Macaca fascicularis: one gene and its partners. The protein of the gene in region 2 interacts with the protein of the main gene of each other region in a pairwise test. Links are inferred from orthologs where the notes say so. Each region holds a gene or a part of one and is shown on either strand. Other genes may lie near its edges. The genes, in order: RHOJ, WASL, ARPC3 and RNF8.

Region 1 (4,047 bases), on a different chromosome or scaffold from region 2:
TAATGCCAGTTGGATATTACCTTGTTGAGGTGTACCTTAAAAGAGGTACATTTTAATCAAGAATGACCTATAAAACCATATCACCCACTCCCTTTCTCTCTGCTTTATCAACCAAGCTGACACTTTGCCTTTTATCATACCAAAGGAGATACATTTCACTTATACATGATTTACACATTCTGCCTACAAATGAGAGGATATGAAAAACAAGATCATGCACCCCTGTTCTTCACAAAACGTATTTAAATTATATCATTGGTTTTGAATTGTCTCCTAGTTTTTTAGATCTTTATATTTTTTATATTCTTAGGAATAAATGGCTATGGATCAATTTCAGGATGTACTGCTTTCCAGAAGTGATCCACAACCATTTATTGCTAATAAAGGAATGTAAGAAATACAAAAATACAAAAAAATAGAATAACATATACAAATTGAAATGAAAAAAACAAAAAAAAAAGGCAAACGTAATCCAAACCACCCCACAAGCTGTTTGTAGGACAGGCAGAAGTGAGTGCTTGTCTGGGCAGTGAGCTGATACCACTGTGCTGTTCTCTTTTTTCTCTCTCATGCCTTTCTCTCTTTTGCGTTTAAGATCGGAGCGCAGTGCTACTTGGAATGCTCTGCTCTGACTCAGAAAGGTCTCAAAGCGGTTTTTGATGAAGCAATCCTCACCATTTTCCACCCCAAGAAAAAGAAGAAACGCTGTTCTGAAGGTCACAGCTGCTGCTCAATTATCTGAGGTTGTCCGGGACCTGCCTCCACCCCACCCAGGCATGAGAATGGCAGCCAATGTCTGCGGCCAAGCTCCAGCCAAAAAGGAGGGCACGACCAGAAAGGAATTCCCTTTGCACGGAGGCTTGCCCCTCCACCCTGTGAGCCCTCCCAACACAGCACACTAGTCAGCCCACTGCCACAACCTCCCTGCCAGCCAGAAGCGTCCGTACTGCACACTCTCTGAGAATGCTGGGCCTGGATTGCAGACAGTGCCGCTGCTGATCAGATCAAAAACAAAGTCAAAGGCCTTTTACAAATCCCCAGCTCATGAACGCGAAGCTGATAGGAAATCACCCCAGGGAACCGGAAAAAGAAAGTTGGTTCCTCTCTTGGTGGCCTTACTTGATGTTTTACAAAACTTGGGACTACAATACTAACCTTTTTTTCTGAATCTGCTGTTCTACCCATGTGTCTCACATTCATTTGTATTATTTCAAGAAATGTACTAATTTCCAGTTTACTCAGGCCTTACAAATCCATACCAAATTAGCCTAAAGACAAGGCATTTTATATTCATTTCTATTTTCAGCATGTTTCTACCAAAGCTATTAGAATCAACACGTACCTCTGAATGCCTGATTATAAGAAGACATGAGAAGACTTAAAAGTTTTGGAAATTTACAGAGCCATGATTTTTGAACCTGATTGAAAGAAAACCATCTGAATTGTTGCAGGTCCACATTTTTGCCAAAGATGCACTCTACAAATGCTTAGTAGTGGCCTGATTTTTTTCCATATTATATTGCCATGACAAACTAAAAATGAACTGTGTTTAAGAATATAGTATTTCTGTTTTTCATCCAAGTTGATTGGGGGAAGAATATGGCAGGATCCATCTTTTCAGTATTGTGTATTCAGTAAAGTGGACGTTCCTGCTCTTCCCTTTCCCCATTGCATGCCTCTTCCTCCCTTGATTTCACTTTCTCTCATGCCCAGATCCTTTTTTCTCCCCAGTTATAACCCAGTTATAAAAGAAAGATCTGAGCATAAAAATACATGTTTAAAAATACCTAAAGGTAAAGGAAAGTGTCTTAATTTTTCTATTTACTTCAACTGAAAGGCTTCTAAGCTCGCCCCATGTAAGTTCTCATTCCATATCAGTGGATACCAAGCTCTGTATCCATTTGTCCCCTGCCCTCCACGATGTGTGACATAGAACACGGACTTTGGTCCTGGGAAAGCAAAAGCTCGCAGTAAGGAATCCTGTGCCAAACCATGTACAACAATTCCAAACCTCCAGGAATGTTTGTATCACAGAGCAAATTACTTCCTGCCTTTTCATTAGCGCCTATCAGGGCTTCTAATTAGTCTTACTTGCTTATAAGTGCCCTGGAATCATCCAGGTAGGAGCTTAATTTTTTTCAATTGCATGAGCAAAGTGCTTCTTAGTAGTATGAAATTACAACAATTTTAGTTTAAGACTTTCCAGATTCAAGCTCCCACTGTTGGAAAAAACCAGCCTTTCTAATCTCTTCTGCTATTGGAGTAAGCCCTTAAGAACTGCGTGATAGCCAGGCACAGTGGCTCACGCCTGTGATCCCAGCACTTAGGGAGGCTGAGGTGGGTGGACCACTTGAACTCACGAGTTCGAGACCAGCCTGGGTAATGTAGTGAGACCCTGTGTCTCTATAAAAAATTAAAAATTAGCCAGTTGTAGTGACACACACCTGTAGTCCTAGCTACTCAGGAGGCTGAGGCAGAAGGATCACTTGAGCCCAGAAGGTAAGACTGCAGTGAGCTGTGACTATGCCACTACACTCCAGCCTAGGTGACAGAGCAAGAACCTGTCTCAAAAAAAAAAAAAAAAAAAAAAAAACCCTACATTTCAAGTACTATTTCCCTTCTCTCCCATCTAATTGCTAAACATTTTCTTTCATATGCATACACTCCACTGACTAGAAAACGGGAGTTTTAAGTCAAAGCTTGACATTTAGAGAAAACAAGGACTTTCTGCCTTTATAAATGGAAATCAACTGTGTATGAACTATAACTCTGCAGAGGTGATGAACTCATCCTTTACAAACAATAATGAGTTTTAGTCCTGTAATAAATGAAATGTTACTAGGCAGCTTTGTTGCATGATTGCATAGTTACATCTTGCTAACGGGCCACTCGTTTCTCATTGACATGGATGAAAAATTGAGAGCAGTATGTTTCCAGGTGTGCGCACTCGACAGGCAAATAGCTCCCCAGGTCATCGCTCCCCTAATGGGCCACAGGAAGTAAGCTGATCATGATGGGGAGATCACTCTGTCACCCAGAACCAGCAACTGGATAGAGACTGTGGTTAGTGTCTGGGGGGAGCACAGGCTCCCAGGGGTCTTAGGAGCTAATTACTGAATAAAACAATCAAAAACAAAGCAACCTAAATAAGTTCATGTCATTCTGCCAAATTAATCAGTTATTCCTTGTTTCATGGCAAGATCCAGTTTGTTTCACTAAAAAGTGTTTTCTGCTATAAGATTAAACTGTATTCTGAAACCAAAGATAAGAAGAGACATAGAGGTCAGGCACAGCGGCTCACGCCTGTAATCCCAACACTTTGGGAGGCAAAGGCAGGTGGATCATGAAGTCAAGAGATCGAGACTATCCTGGCCAAAATGGTGAAACCCCATCTCTACTAAAAATACAAAACTTAGCCAGGCATGGTGATGGGCACCCTGTAATCCCAGCTACTCAGGAGGCTGAGGCAGGAGAATTGCTTGAGCCCGGGAGGTGGAGGTTGCAGTGAGCCGATATCACGCCATTGCACTCCAGCCTGGGCAACAGAGCCAGACTCCATCTCAAAAAAGAAAAAAGAAGAGACACAGAAATTTGAAGAAGGATCCTTTAATGGTCCACACCATCTTCCAAAGTCCAGAAGTGGCAGCTGATATCCATCTGAAAGTAGAATCTTAGCTTTTCGGAGCTAGACAAGGCCTCAGAAACAACTATAGTTCAATTCCTTATTGTACCGATGATAAACTCATACCTAGATGGGTAAAAAGAGGTGTGTTGTAGCAGTGCTGTACAGATCTCAGTTTTTCTGCTTCCCATACAATCCTCTTCAACCCAATACTACAATGTATTCATTATCACACATATTAAGCTGGAGTTCTGTAGCCATGTTATTAGAGTTGCAACTGTTTATCCTATAGATTCCAGCCACATTTTAAACACATAACTTCATGTAGTTAGGCCACTAAAAATAAAGTAATCCATCAAGCTAGTAATACACTAGAGAATTTTACCTACATACTAAGATACCTGAAATCCACAGTATACGGCAAT
Region 2 (4,674 bases):
TCTATGGTTAATATTTATATGTGACAATAAGTGCAATGAGATTTTAATTACAAAATACTAAAACTACCTCTAAACTACTGGGCACTAATATGACCTGATAGATAACAGTCAAGAGATTTTTACACCCCTGGTCTCAGCTTTATTTGTAAAATCAGATAACCATCTTGGTCTGTTTTGAAGTATTTCACTGAGTTTAAATGAGATCTTAGTTATGGTATTTGGTAAATTGGTGCATCTTTTGTTGTTGTTGTTTTGAGACAGGGTCTTGCTCTTGCTCTGTCACCAGCCTGGAGTGCACAGCTTACTGCAACCTTGATCTCCTTGGCTCAAGCAATCTTCCCACCTCAGCCTCCTGAGTAGCTGTGACTACAGGCACATGCCACCACACCTGGCTAATTTTTGTATTTTTTTGTAGAGATGGGTTCTGCTGTTTTGCCCCAGGCTGGTTTCAAACTCCTGGACTCAAGTGATCCTCCTGCCTCAGGCTCCCAAAGTGCTGGGATTACAGGCCTGAGCCACCAGTCCCAGGCTAAATTAGTGCTTCTTAAAGTCTGCTTCCAAGACAGCTGAGAGATATGACATGCTTCTGTCACTAGCAGTGGCTTACTATGGCAGTGATTCTGGAGGGTGGGGAACACATACATAATTTGAAAGAAACCCCCAAGTGCTTTGACATATTTCTCATAACTGTTGAGAAGCACTGTTTAGAAATGGCTTATGCATACTACACTAAGAAGAAAGGAATTCCATTGCAGTGGTTATCATGGGTGAACAGTGTATTGTACATATTTTTAAATTGTGGTCTGGGTAGAACCTTGCATTTCTGAATAGGGCAATGACTATGTTTCTCTAACCACTTATTTCCAATTGCTGAACGTTCATGATTCTTCACCTTTGGTATTAAGGTTAAACCTATTTTTTATACTATGACAATAGATATGGCAGTCATCATGGTACTCTTATCCATAGTTTAACCTTGATACATTTTAATTATCAGTCTCTTTCTGCATCATGATTAATACTACTTATACCAGTATGTAATTAGAAAGGTACTCTGCAAAAGTTAAGAATTTGAAGATGGTTAATGAGCAGTACAAGGAAGGTATATTTGACCCTCCCACATCTATAAAATAGAGGAAAAGATCATAAAGTATTCCTGCAGTGTTTGATAGTACATTGTCTAAATATTGCTGGTAGAACTGTGCTTTGATAATCAGTTCATGTACAAAAGTGTCCTATTCCTTCTATGTAACATTGATGACCTAGTAATTATTCTGGTTATGTATTTGACCAAGTAACTGAATTTGGAAATGGTTGGCTAGGGAGATTATATCTTAGCTGAATTAAACTGACTTGATATGTAGGTTTTATGAAAGACACGTTATCCAGTGTTTACAGTTTTAAGAAATTACTGATTAGATTATGTGACACTATTTATATATTATAAATATGTTGCATGTGTGCATGTAAAAGTTATTTTTAATATAAACAGTTATCTTAATATGAGTCATCTGCTTTGTTTTATTCCTAGAGATTATGTTTTGGTAGTTCTTATTTTAATTTTTGACTTTTTTCTAGGATGGGAAACTATTGTGGGAACAAGAGCTATACAATAACTTTGTATATAATAGTCCTAGAGGATATTTTCATACCTTTGCTGGAGATGTAAGTCATATTTTTCTTTATTACCATCTTTTTTCATTGCTTGCCTTTTCTAATCCAAATTATTTATAGAGCCTTATTGAAAGATCAAATTCAATTTACTGTTTTTTTTTTTTTTGCTGAAGGTGAAATAATGTCTTATCTGCTAGTAAAATTAACCTTTCATTCTTTAGAAATATACTTCTTTTGCTCATTGTTTTTATGATATAAAGCTGTTATATAAAGCATGATTCTGTTGTTTCTGCTTTATGATGAAAATATTTCAGACTTGTCAAGTTGCTCTTAATTTTGCCAATGAAGAAGAAGCAAAAAAATTCCGAAAAGCAGTTACAGACCTGTTGGGCCGCCGACAAAGGAAATCTGGTAACCCTTTTTTTAATTACTTAAATTGGACCAGCAAACTAATGCTCATGGGACAAGTGTGGGCCACTTCCTGTTTTTGTAAATAAAAGTTTACTGAAACTTAGCTATATTCATTGGTTTACATGTTGTGTTTGGCTACTTTTTTGCCACAACACAGTTCAATAGTGATGACAGTGATTATGTGGTCCTCAAAGCCTAAACTATTTATTACCTAAAATATTTACTATTTACAAAAAAATTTGGTGGTCTTTACCTTAAAATAATATTTTTCTTGAGAACTGTTTTTTTTAGATTTACTGAAGGACCCATTCCAATAACATTTTTTGTTGATAAAATGTCATATGTATTGTCTTTTAATTTTGCATTTGTGTTAGCATTGTTTGTTAAGTTTTAAAAGTATTTTATACTTTGTAAACAAAGACTTTAGGTAAACTTAGAAGCAAATAAGCAGAGTTGCTAACAAGATCTATAAACATTGCCTTGTCTCTCTATTTTGTTCCTAATACTATATACTATAAAACCCATAAGGAACCTGTTTATTGTGTAACACATATAAAACAATTACAGAACAATGCAGGATAGTATAAAGCTTTAAATTAATTGGTATAGAACTATTGTTCGACAACAGTGTACCAGGCCTTTCTCTTGTAAAGTGGAGAAGGGTGACTAGGAAAGGGGAACCTTTCCAAAATCATCTTAAGCAGATCAGTTTCAGGAGAATGAACATGTGCTTTCATCCAGTCCTATGGTTCTAAAAACTGTATGCTGATGACTCTCAAAGTTTTGTCTTCAGTACTGACACATCTTCCCTGAGCTTCAGACTCTGTCTACTCAAGTTAAGTGACACAATAGCCTTTAGACTTAACACGTCTGAGCAGAATATTTGATCCATGTCCTGTATCCCGAACCCTAGCCCCACTCAGACCTGTTCCTGTTCTTCTACTAATCTTCCTTGTTTCAGCAAAAGGCATTTGTTCCATCTTATCCCTCAGGCTCACCATGGTCCCTCATAAATCCTATCAGAGTCCTATCAGATTGGCTCTGCCTTCAAAAACTTGTCCTGTCTGACTATTTCTTACCATTTCTGCTGCTACCATTCTAATCCAGGCAGCCATGATCTGTCGGTTGGACTGCTACACTAGCTCTCTGACTAGTCTCCCTGCTGCTACTCAATCCTTTTTACTATCACTTTTCTATACAGTAGCCAGAGTAAACTTGTAGATTAGGTTATATCACTTTCTCTATTTAAAATTCTGTAAGAGCTTCCTATCATATACACATATAATCTATAGTCCTTAACCATGGCCTACGGAATCCTACATGATCTAGTCCTGTTCTTTCCTTCTGACTTGTTTCCTTTCACTGTGCCTTTTGCTCACTACAGTTCAGCCTTCATGATGTTCTTTCATGTTGCACCCTCCTTGGAGCCTTTGAATATATTGTTCCCTTCCTTATTTTATTTAGATCTCTGCTTAAATGTCGGGTCTTCTGAAAAATCTTCCTTAGTCACACATACATCAATTTAGGAATAAGACAGTTTAGTGAATTAATTTTTTTATGTTGATGTTGTCTTACATATATTTAATAATATTCTTCTAATTTATTTTCTAACAGAGAAAAGACGAGATCCCCCAAATGGTAAGCTTTTTGACAATTATTAATCGTTTAAGATTTTAGATGACAGTTTAATCCTTGTGGAAACGTGTACCATACATTAGTAATATTTAGTATCTATTGCATCTTAATCCTTGTGAAAACATGTACCATACATTAATAAGTAATATTTAGTATCTATGATCAAATTATACGGTTTATTGTGTTCTTTTTCATTAATGACTGACAGATGAGACTTAGGAAACAATATTCTTCGATATTTTTCTGACATGAAGAAAGAATACATAGTGTGGAGATCACTAATACTTATATCTTAATTCTGGATTCACAGTTGACTGAGTATACAATCTAGCCTTAACATTTTTCCTAGAGGCAGTAAATTTTGTCTAGCATATTTGTTAATTTCCTACTTTAACATTTATCTTTCATTCTTATTTCAAAGTATTATTTCACACTGGTTATGTGTTACATGAAGCCCCTTTCAGAATGAACACCTACTGTTATGGTGTATTTAGAACTAATTTAGCTTCATATAATGCTCTTTAATTTGATAATGACAACTTGAAGTATTATGAATTCATTTTTTAAAAAATATTAAATACCAGAGAGTAAAAGCAGTAAAAGATAAAGTCCAGGAGTAGAAATTCTTACCCTAGACTTCATAAAGTCCCTGAAATATGTGCTAAATATGTTCTTTTCTCTGGAGAGAGAGGATCCATGGCTTTCATCTGTTTAAATGAGGTCCCTGACTCTGTGAAGGTAAAGAACCATTCTCCAGGACCCTTTATTATGATAGAGAAAATGGCTGCTGCTTTTTAAAATCACATCTCAAATCCTTTTATCAGAACCTAGAATGATTATTCAAGGAAAACTTACATAATCCAAAGTTCTTAATATCTGACAGCTATTGGTGATTGTTGGGGTTTGTTTCTTTTAAACAGGTATGTTGCTTTTTGATTTTGTCCTTACATTTCTTTTCCTGATACAGAAACATGAACCAAATTTTGCTGTACTAAATTCTGGGTTATTTACCTT
Region 3 (5,152 bases), on a different chromosome or scaffold from region 2:
GTCAGTGGTAGCTTATGCCTGGGGGGCCAGGCTAGAGGGAAGGGTCGGGTGTCTACACCATGGTCCAGTCAGGGAGGAGCATGATGAGTGGGCAACATTGGGATATGCTGGGCTTCCTGGGGACTTTCCTGTGGCCCTTAGAGGATAGAGACTGTGGAAACAGTCTGATCTCCCAGGGTTGCTAATTCTTAGAAACTTTATTGTCACATGGGAGGGGAAGAAAGGAGAGGCAGCTTTTCAGTTGCCCTCTTGGTCCTCCCTGGTTTAGCTTCTAGAGAGTATGGTATGTGCCTGTGGAGAAAAAGTGAAGGACCCAATTCCAGTGCCTTCCCCACTGGACACTAGGGTTTCAAAGATGAATCTGACAATTCCAGTCCTCGAGGATTTCACTGTCTCATAGGCAGGGCTGACATGATTCTTTACACAAATTTACTGAAGTTCTATGGATGCCAGGTACTGGGGATAGAACAGGGACTCAGTGCAGGCAGCGCTTTGCTCACGTGGGGCTGTCATGCTGGGCTGTGAGACTGAACCTCGGAGAGAGGATGGAAAGAACAGAAAGCAGAAAAGAAATGGAGAGTGACTATGGGGCTACTTTGGGCTCTTTGTCAAAAAAGACCTTGCCTAAAAGGTGCTATTTGCCCAGTCACCTGAATGCGAAATCAGATGTGGGAACATGGGGCTCTATTCCAGGCTGCGAACTGGCAGAAGAAATGGCTCTCAGGTAGCAATGAACTTGACTTTTAACGTAAGTTTTCTAGTAATAAATAGGTTAAAAACTCCTGGGCTTTCGGTATGCTCCAAGCATGTAAGTTCTAAGCATTTTACATGTAATTCATTTCATCGTCACAAAATTATGAGGTAAATATTGTTACTACCATTTTCAGGTGAGGAACTGAAGTACAGAGGCAAGTTAACTTGCTCAAAATTATAGAGCTAGTATGTATTGAAGCTGCGATTCAGATTCCAGTGCCCTTCAGTTTCTCTATTTTTAGATGCAGTGCATTGGGTTCATTCATTTACTCAAATACTGATGTTTCCTACATACCATCACTGTTACAGGCGCCAGGGGACAAAACGGGCGAAGTGCTGTCTGGCATTTACAAGGATAGGGAGACAAGCACTAAGAGTAAACTAAATACAAGAATCATAAGAACTAAGGGAAAAAGCGGGAGAGAAGGATAAGGCATGGGGCTGGAGTCGGGTGAATTGAAAACAGAATGACCAGAGGCGGCTTCACAGGAAAGGTGTTTTGTTTGTTTGTTTAAGATAGAGTCACACTCTCACCCAAGCTAGAGTGCAGCGGCACGATCTTGGCTCACCGCAAACTCCGCCTCCCAGGTTCAAGCGATTATTCTGCCTCAGCCTCCCGAGTAGCTGGGATGCTACCACGCCCAGCTAATTTTTGTATTTTTAGTAGAGACGAGATTTCACCATCCAGGCTGATCTCGGACTCCTGACTTCAGGTAATCCACCCGCCTCGGCCTCCCAAAGTGCTGGGATTACAGGCATGAGCCACTATGCCCGGCCCTGAAAAGGTGAAATTTGAAAAAAACACAAAAGAGGTGATTGATCGAAGATTCTGGAACCTCAAGACCCATCTCCATTTTGCGCGCGCCTCACGCTGCGCCACTCTGAGGGCCCCTACCTAGCGCTCTGGCGCCCCCTTTCAGATCCGCGCGGCCGCTGCAACCAGAGGCGGAACTACAAAGCCGGAAGCTCACGTCATCACCCCGCCCCTTCCGTTTCGCTTCCGCCTACCCCGCCCGGGCTGCCAGACCGGAAGCGTTCTGCTCTACCTGGATTCTGCTCCTCTGGGTTGGAACCCGGGTGCTGCCAAGATGCCGGTGAGGGTTCGATCCATGGTGTGGGGAGACAGCGGGGATTGCGAAAAGCGGGGAGAAACCTTGTGTGTGCCGAGAGAAGCGGGCGGCGGAAGGCAGAGAGGAAGCGGGAGCCCGAGAAGGAGTGAGGCGAGGGGAGGGGACCGGTCGCTGAAGAATTGGGACAGCCCGCGGGTGCCAGTCGTGGGAGGCGGGGGCGCGGCAGGAGTGGGCCCGGGGTCCAGGGGTCCAGGGTGTGTGAGGAGGCCCTCTTCTCTCTCTCTCCGTCTACTCCTTCCGGCTCCGGCAGGGTTCCCAAAGCGTCACTACAGCGCGAAGCCAAGGGTTGCCCTTTTTATTTTTCATATTTCAAGTCCAGGGTCTAGCTTCTCCTTTTTCTGTGAGGCCCACTTCCTCCTCCGCCCCGGGGGGCAGGCTCCCTCTGCTGTTTGTCATTTGTCAGAACCCACTTCCCGGCAGCGGCGGCCACCCCGGAGCCACCTGGGTATAGGGCCCTCACAGACTCGGTCGGCGCCTGACTTCCAAAGATTTCCTTTTTCGTGTGCATCAGAGTGGGAGTAAAAATCTATGACGGTCTGGTTGTACTTAATTTCTGACAGGCAGTCTGTGGGCTAGATTTATCACCATCATGGTCTCCATTTTGCAGATTCGGGAAAAGGTGGTTCGGTTATTGTGTGATTGTTCACACTTTTTTTGTTTGTTTTTTGAGAGAGTCTCGTTCTGTGGTCCAGGCTGGAGTGCAGTGAGGCGATCTCGGCTCACTACAACCTCCGCCACCTTGGTTCAAGCAGTCCTCGTGCCTCAGCCTCCTGGGTAGCTGGGATTACAGGCGCGCGCCACCACACCCAGCTAATTTTTTGCATTTTAGTAGGGACGGGGGTTTCACCATGTTGGCTGGGCTGGGCTGGAACTCCAGACCTCAGGTGATCCGCCCCCTCGGCCTCCCAAAGTGTTGGGATTATAGACATGAGCCACCGCGCCCAGCCTGCTCACACATTATTTTTAACAAACGTTACCGAGCACCTACTGCCTGCCAGGCTCTATTTACAGCAGCAAATAAGTTCAACAAATCCCTAATCTTAAACAGTGTACGTTCAAATCGGGAGACGAGACAATAAAAGTGTAAACATAAAGGAGATACATACAGTAGTGTCAGGTAGTGACAAATGCTATAAAGAAGCTAGATGGATGGCCAGGCGCGGTGGCTCACGCCTGTAATCCCAGCACTTTGGGAGGCCTAGGCGGATGGATCACGAGGTCAGGAGTTCAAGACCAGCCTGGCCAACATGGTGAAACTCCATCTCTACTAAAAATAAAAAAATTAGCTGGGCGTAGTGGCGCGTGCCTGTAATCCCAGCTACTTGGGAGGCTGAGGCAGGAGAATCGCTTGAACCCAGGAGGTGGAGGTTGCAGTGAGCCAAGACTGTGCCACTGCACTCCAGCCTGGCCACAGAGTGAGACTCTGACCCCCCCACTCCAAAAAAAAGAAACTAGATAGGTAACAAGACAGTTTGGTGAAAGGGAAGGCAGAGGGTACTTTAGATAAAGTATACTTGTGATGAAAAGGAGCAAGCCATAGTTGCAAATACATATATAGAGAGATATATATAGATAGATAGATTTTTTTTTTTTTTTTTTTTTTGAGACAGGGTTACACCCCGTCTCTGAGACTGCAGTGCAGTGACACAAACTTGGCTCAGGTGATCCTCCCACCTCAGCCTCCTGAGCAGCTGGGACTACAGGTGTACGTCGCCACGCCCAGCTAAGTTTTTCTATTTTCAGTAGAGACAGGGTCTCACCATGTTGCCCAGGCTGGTCTCAAACTTCTGGGCTCAAGCAGTCCTCCTGCCTCGACCTCCCTGAGTGTTGGGATTACAGGCGTGAGCCACCTCATTCAGCCTCACAAATACATATTTTATGAATTCCGTAATTACCATTTGACTCCTGAGCTCTGGGGTACACACTTTATAAATTATCCCATCTAATCCTCATAATGACCCTGTGAAGTAGGTACCATGATTCCTATTTTACAGAAGAGGAAACGGAACCTCAGAGAAGTTAATTTGGACAAAGTTGCCTACTAATGGTAAAACCAGATTTTAAGCCAGGACTCTAGGCTGGGTACAGTGGCTTATGCCTGTAATCCCAACACTTTAGGAGGCCAAGATGGGAGGATCGCTTGAGCCCAGGGGTTTGAGACCAACCTGGGCAACATAATGAGACCCTGCCTCTACAAAAATAAGAATAAATTAACTGGATGTGGTAGTGCATCTCCTCCCAGCCTCTCAAGAGGCTGAGGTGGGAGGATCACCTGGAGCCAGGAGTTTGAGGCTGCAGTGAGCTGTGATCATGCCACTGTACTCCAGCCTGGGTGAGAGGAGACTCTGTCTCCAAAAAAAAAGGACTCTAAAGCCCTGTACTGGCTCCAGTTGCACATAGAGCACCCTGGATTCACCCTGGGTTGGTTGGTTGGTTGGTTGGTTGGTTGGTTTGAGATGGAGTCTCGCTCTGTACCAGGCTGGAGTGCAGTGGTGCGATCTCGGCTCACTGCAACCTCTGCCTCCTGTGTTCAGGTAATTCTCGTGCCTCAGCCTCCCAAGTAGCTGGGAATACAGGCATGTGCTACCACACCCGGCTAATTTTTGTATTTTTAGTAGAGATGGGGTTTCACCATGTTGGTCTGGATGGTCTCTATCTTTTGGCCTTGTGATCTGTCAGCCTCGGCCTCCCAAAGTGTTTGGATTACAGGCGTGAGCCACCGTGCCCGTCCCATCCTGTGATTATTTTTTGTCTACCTTCTCTACTCTTCAAGGACCAGGACTGTACTACTTTGTATATTACTGTATCACAGTGTCTTGCACATAGAATGTGCTTAGCAATCATTTGATGGATGAATATATGAATGGGACCCATGTTGTCTTATAAAAAGCCAGGCATCTTGTAAAAAGCAGAACTAAGAATCAGCATACAGAATGCTCTCATAAATGTGATTTTTTTCTCCCTTCCTTTAACTCACACTTACCCACTGAAGGGAATATATATATTCTCATTTTACAAATTTGGAAACAAGCTAAGAGAAGAAGAATGATGCCTTGGTCAAAGCATAACGCCAGGAAGTGGCAGAGCTGAAAAGATAGTGCTTGGGTCTTGGTTTAGCTGGGGGCTGGGTACCCTGATTTATATGATGTTTGTCTTTCTGTGGTGGAAATACTTTGACCAGATACCAATGTGATGTCACCAAACATAGAATTGGAAGAGATGCACAGCAGCACCCCATTATTTAGTATTTCGTAATAATAACTTTAAGA
Region 4 (4,674 bases), on a different chromosome or scaffold from region 2:
GGCTTGCTATAAACTACTTAATGTCCCATCTGGTCTTGGGTGGTTGGTGTGGTTAGTATACCACCTGCATTTTTCTCATTTGACTAATTTTGGGGAAGGAGACAGAAACTGCAATGCAAATACTGAAAAAGTGGTGTTTTAGTCCATTCAGGCTACTACAAAAAAGACCCATAAACTGCATAGCTTACAAACAACAGAAATTTATTTCTCACAGTACTGGAGGTTGGGAAATCCAAGATCAAGATACTGGCATATTTGGTGTCTGGTGAGGGCTATCTTCTGTTTCATAGATAGAGTCTTGCTGTGTCCCTACATGGTAGAAGGGGCACACGAGCTCTCCTTGGGCCCCTTTTATAAAGGCCACTAACCCGATTTATGAGCATGGAGCCCTCATGACCTAGTCACCTCCCAAAGGCCCCACCTCTTAATACCATCACATTTGAAAATAAGTGTCAACATGGGAATTTGGGAGGAAGCACAAACATTCACACCATAGCAAGTAGGGAGAGGAAAGAAAGAAGGTTAGTGCTCTGCATTAGAAAACAATTATTAACAATAACCCTTAGGGAAAGTGTTCTTAATGTTGCTATACCAGAATGAATCATTCATTAAGACTGAATCCTCTTCTAAATAATTAACCCTGCTCCCTGTCCCCTTTTGCATTTTTGTTGGTTATCTGAATGACAGGTAGGATTGTGTGTCTTGCAGGAAGAGAAGGAGAAGGTGCAAGCACAGAAGGAAGAAGTTCTCAGCCACATGAATGATGTGCTAGAGAATGAGCTCCAATGTATTATTTGTTCAGAATACTTCATTGAGGTAATGAAGTTGCTCACCCCTTCTTTTTTTTTTTTTTTTTTTTTTTTTTTGAGAGAGTCTTACTCTGTCACCCAGGCTGGAGTGCCGTGCTGCGATCTTGGCTCACTGCAACCCCCACTTCCCGGGCTCAAGCAGTTCTTGTGCCTCAGCCTCCTGAGTAGCTGGGATTACAGGCACATGCCACCACGCCTGGCTAAATTTTAGTATTTTTAGTAGACATGGGGTTTTGCCATGTTGGCCAGGCTGGTCTCGAATTCCTGACCTCAGGTGATCTGCCCACCTCGGCCTCCCAAAGTGCTGGGATTACAGGTGTGAGTCACCACACCTGGCTGACCCCTTCTTATTCTCCCAACCCTGAATGGAGCCTGGGCTGTACAGGCTGCTTCTACTATAGGGGAACATTCTGAAGAGATTTTCTTCCAGGAACTTACAACTATTTGATTTCAAAGTGACCCCTAGAGATGACCATTTCTCATTTGTTTTTATAATCTTCTTTCCCTTCACTGTCCTTTTGTGGCATTTCATCTGTTCTTAAATGTTTATTTGGTATGATTAACATTTTTAGCTGCAGTGAAGCTTTTATCTCTTTGTTGTTGAGGGGAAAACAGGGCCAAATTAGATTTTGGAAGTATCAGAATAAAGCTGCTCAGTAAAAGCTATTTTTTCTTTACTCTGAATGGGCCCAATGCTGAGAATATGCTTATAGTGCAGCCTTTTAAACGAGGGGGTAAACGCCATTAAAATGTGGTCACTTTGGGAGTTCAGGGCCCAAGTTGAGTATATTTCAGGGACTCTGAGGCTCCTTATGGAAACTTGAAACCTCTACCATTTGTTAGCCTATCATATTTTTGCACTGGCTTATTTATTTATTTAACAAATTCTGCCATTTATGACCAGTTCACCTTAGACCACAAGTGTTAAACTCAAGTTACTAAATGACAGTGCTTTTCAGACTCCTTTAAAAAGAAGGCCAGGCGCAGTGGCTCACACCTGTAATCCCAGCATTTTGGGAGGCCAAGTGCAGGAGGATCACTTGAGGTAAGGAGTTCGAGACCAGACTGGCCAACATGGTGAAACCCCATCTCTACTAAAAATACAAAAATCCCAGGGGTGGTGGTGTGTGCATGTAGTCCCAGCTAGTTGGGAGGCTGAGGCAGGAGAATCACTTCAATCTGGGAGGCGGAGGCTACAGTGAGCCGAGATCACACCATTGTACTCCAGTCTGGGCAACAGAGCAAGGCAGAAGAAAAAGAAGGCTGAGGCAGGAGAATGGCATGAACCTGGGAGGTGGAGCTTGCAGTGAGCCGAGATCGCGCCTCTGCACTCCAGCCTGGGCGACAGAGCGAGACTCCATCTCAAAAAAGAAAAAAAAAAAGAAAAAAAAAATGTAGGCCAGTTGCAATGGCTCATGCCTATAATCCGAGCACTTTGGGAGGCCAAGGTGGGCAGATCACCTGAGGTCAAGAGTTCAAGATCAGCCTGGTCAACATGGCAAAACCCCATCTCTATTAATAATAGAAAAATTAGCTGGGCATGGTGATGTGTACCTGTAATCCCAGCTACTCAGGAGGCTGAGGCAGGAGAATTGCTTGAACCCAGGGGGCGGAGGTTGCAGTGAAGTGATATCGTACCACTGCACTCCAGCGTGGGTGACAGAGTGAGACTCCGTCTCAAAAAAAAAAAAAAAAAAAAAGGGAAAGCACATATATGCACAGCTTTCTTTACTCAGGTGATCTTTAGGGAGGTTGGGTCTGTTAGCCTCTTGAAAAATCTCTCCTAGGGAGACCTTTTTCTTTTGCTGTGGGTCCACTTAGACTTCAGATCGTAACTTCCCCCATAATTTCTAGTCATCTGATTCCCTACTTTGGAGAAGCTCTGTGTTGTTTTGACAAGGCTTATGGACTCTAGAAGAGGAAGACAAGAAACGGGTTGAAATAAATGATGAGTTAGCCAACCTGGAGCAATCCGCAGAGACATATAAGACGTAAACAACTTGACCTGTGTTTTGTTTACAGAATACCTTCTTATCTACTTTACTGGTTACCTCTTAAAATCAGTCTCAGAAATATGTTTTATTTAATTTATTTGTTTATTTTTGAGACAGAGTCTCGCTGTGTCACCCAGGCTGGGTTGCAGTGGTATGATCTTGGCTCACTGCAACCTCCACCTCCTGGATTCAAGTGATCCTGCCTCAGCCTCCCGAGTAGCTGGGACTACAGGCACCCACCACCATGCCCGGCTAATTTTTTTATATTTTTAGTAGAGATGGGATTTCATCATGTTGGCCAGGCTGGTCTCGAACTCTGACCTCAGGTGATCTGCCCACCTCAGCCTCCCAAAGTGCTGGGATACAGTAAGCCTCAGATGTTTCATTTTTATCACATAGGTTTTCAGTACTGTTTATGAGAGCTTGTCTTATGTAATAAACACAATGTTTCCTAGCTTCTGTGCTCAACTTGGCATTTAAAAAATATGTAATATCAGTGTTATTTTGCACTGTTATCCTAAGAGCAGGAATGAGCACTTTTGAGCATAAGATACAAGAGCCTTGTATCTTAGGAGATGTACATAAACAAAAGTAACAAAGAGAAAGGTTTGTATTCTCCAGAGTGAAAAGGGCTCTGGCAGAAATTGACCAGAGGGATTACTCAGAGGAGCCCCACAAATACAGGCTTCCTTTTGCTTTCTCTCTTCATTGGCACATTTACTTAGATATTCAGGCATTGTCAATAAACCCATTATATTTTTACTTTTTAGTTTCTTTTTTTTGCCCAGCATTTTTAGTTGCCTTCTATATTATTTTACTTTTTCAGTTTTAGAGATGATATCATATAATTCTCTATACTTAAAATTTAGTATGTGTTCCCTTTCATATGTTAATTAGCAAGACAAATTTGTTTTTCTTTTTGAAAAATTTGTTTTACAAAAGCGTCAGATTGGCAGAAACTAATAATATTTATTGTTTGTTTTTGTTTGTTTGTTAGTTTTTTTCCAGGCAGTGTCTCACTCTGTCGCCCACGCTAGAGTGCAATGACGCCGTCATGGCTCACTGCAGTTTCTAGCTCCCGGGCTGAAGTGATCCTCCCACCCCAGCCTCATGAGTAGCTGGGGCTACAGACTGTGCCACCATGCCCGGCTATTTTTTTTTTTTTTTTGGTAGAGATGGGATTTCACCATGTCTCAGGCTGGTCTTGAATTCCTGGCTCAAGCAGTCCACCTTCTTCAGCTCCCCAAGTGCTAGGATTACAGGTGTAAGCATTCACACACTTATTAGTCCTACTCATATCCAGTAACATTTTGTTTGCAAGGTGGCCAGCCCACACTGGGAGCGTGGTCTGAGTTGGTGGACTGAAACAGACAAATCCCTTAACTTTGAGAAAATAAAAGAATTATCTAACATAAAGCTTAAAATTTCCCAACCCTAAGAACGATTTTTTTTTTTTTTTTTTTAAAAGACAGAGTCTCCCTCTGTCACTCAGGCCAGACTGCAGTGGCGTGATTTTTGTCTCACTGCAACCTCCACCTCCTGGGTTCAAGAAATTCTCGTGCCTCAGCCACCCGAGTAGCTGGGATTAGAGGTGTGTACCACCATGACTGGCTAATTTTCATATTTTTAGTAGAGACGAGGTTTTACCATGTTGTCCAGGCTGGTCTCGAACTCCTGACCTCAGGTGACCCACCCACCTCGGCCTTGCAGAGTGCCAGGATTATAGGCATGAGCCATCACGCCTGGCCCAACCCCAAGAATGATTCTGATACTCTTTGTAAGCCCTCAAGATGGGATTGTGGTTGATTTTCCATTTGGCCTTTGAAATTCACTCCTGACCTAACTTTGAGATCAGAAGCATCCTGAGAAAG

The links.
Region 1: the proteins of WASL (region 2) and RHOJ interact in binary tests that used the Homo sapiens proteins (3 or more experiments, as listed by UniProt). The two-hybrid records come from large-scale screens. The link is inferred for Macaca fascicularis from reciprocal best matches to the Homo sapiens genes WASL and RHOJ.
Region 3: the proteins of WASL (region 2) and ARPC3 interact in binary tests that used the Homo sapiens proteins (3 or more experiments, as listed by UniProt). The two-hybrid records come from large-scale screens. The link is inferred for Macaca fascicularis from reciprocal best matches to the Homo sapiens genes WASL and ARPC3.
Region 4: the proteins of WASL (region 2) and RNF8 interact in binary tests that used the Homo sapiens proteins (3 or more experiments, as listed by UniProt). The two-hybrid records come from large-scale screens. The link is inferred for Macaca fascicularis from reciprocal best matches to the Homo sapiens genes WASL and RNF8.

The regions. Positions count from the first base shown.
Region 1 is NC_088381.1:131,103,555-131,107,601, forward strand, and holds the end of RHOJ (rho-related GTP-binding protein RhoJ), read left to right. Parts: intron 1-595; coding exon 596-742; 3' UTR 743-2,845; downstream 2,846-4,047.
Region 2 is NC_088377.1:165,348,625-165,353,298, reverse strand, and holds part of WASL (actin nucleation-promoting factor WASL), read left to right. Parts: intron 1-1,578; coding exon 1,579-1,665; intron 1,666-1,928; coding exon 1,929-2,025; intron 2,026-3,639; coding exon 3,640-3,663; intron 3,664-4,674. UniProt on the Homo sapiens protein: Regulates actin polymerization by stimulating the actin-nucleating activity of the Arp2/3 complex. Involved in various processes, such as mitosis and cytokinesis, via its role in the regulation of actin polymerization.
Region 3 is NC_088385.1:117,321,536-117,326,687, reverse strand, and holds the start of ARPC3 (actin-related protein 2/3 complex subunit 3), read left to right. Parts: upstream 1-1,744; 5' UTR 1,745-1,841; coding exon 1,842-1,847; intron 1,848-5,152. UniProt on the Homo sapiens protein: Component of the Arp2/3 complex, a multiprotein complex that mediates actin polymerization upon stimulation by nucleation-promoting factor (NPF).
Region 4 is NC_088378.1:134,272,926-134,277,599, reverse strand, and holds part of RNF8 (E3 ubiquitin-protein ligase RNF8), read left to right. Parts: intron 1-708; coding exon 709-816; intron 817-4,674. UniProt on the Homo sapiens protein: E3 ubiquitin-protein ligase that plays a key role in DNA damage signaling via 2 distinct roles: by mediating the 'Lys-63'-linked ubiquitination of histones H2A and H2AX and promoting the recruitment of DNA repair proteins at double-strand breaks (DSBs) sites, and by catalyzing 'Lys-48'-linked ubiquitination to remove target proteins from DNA damage sites.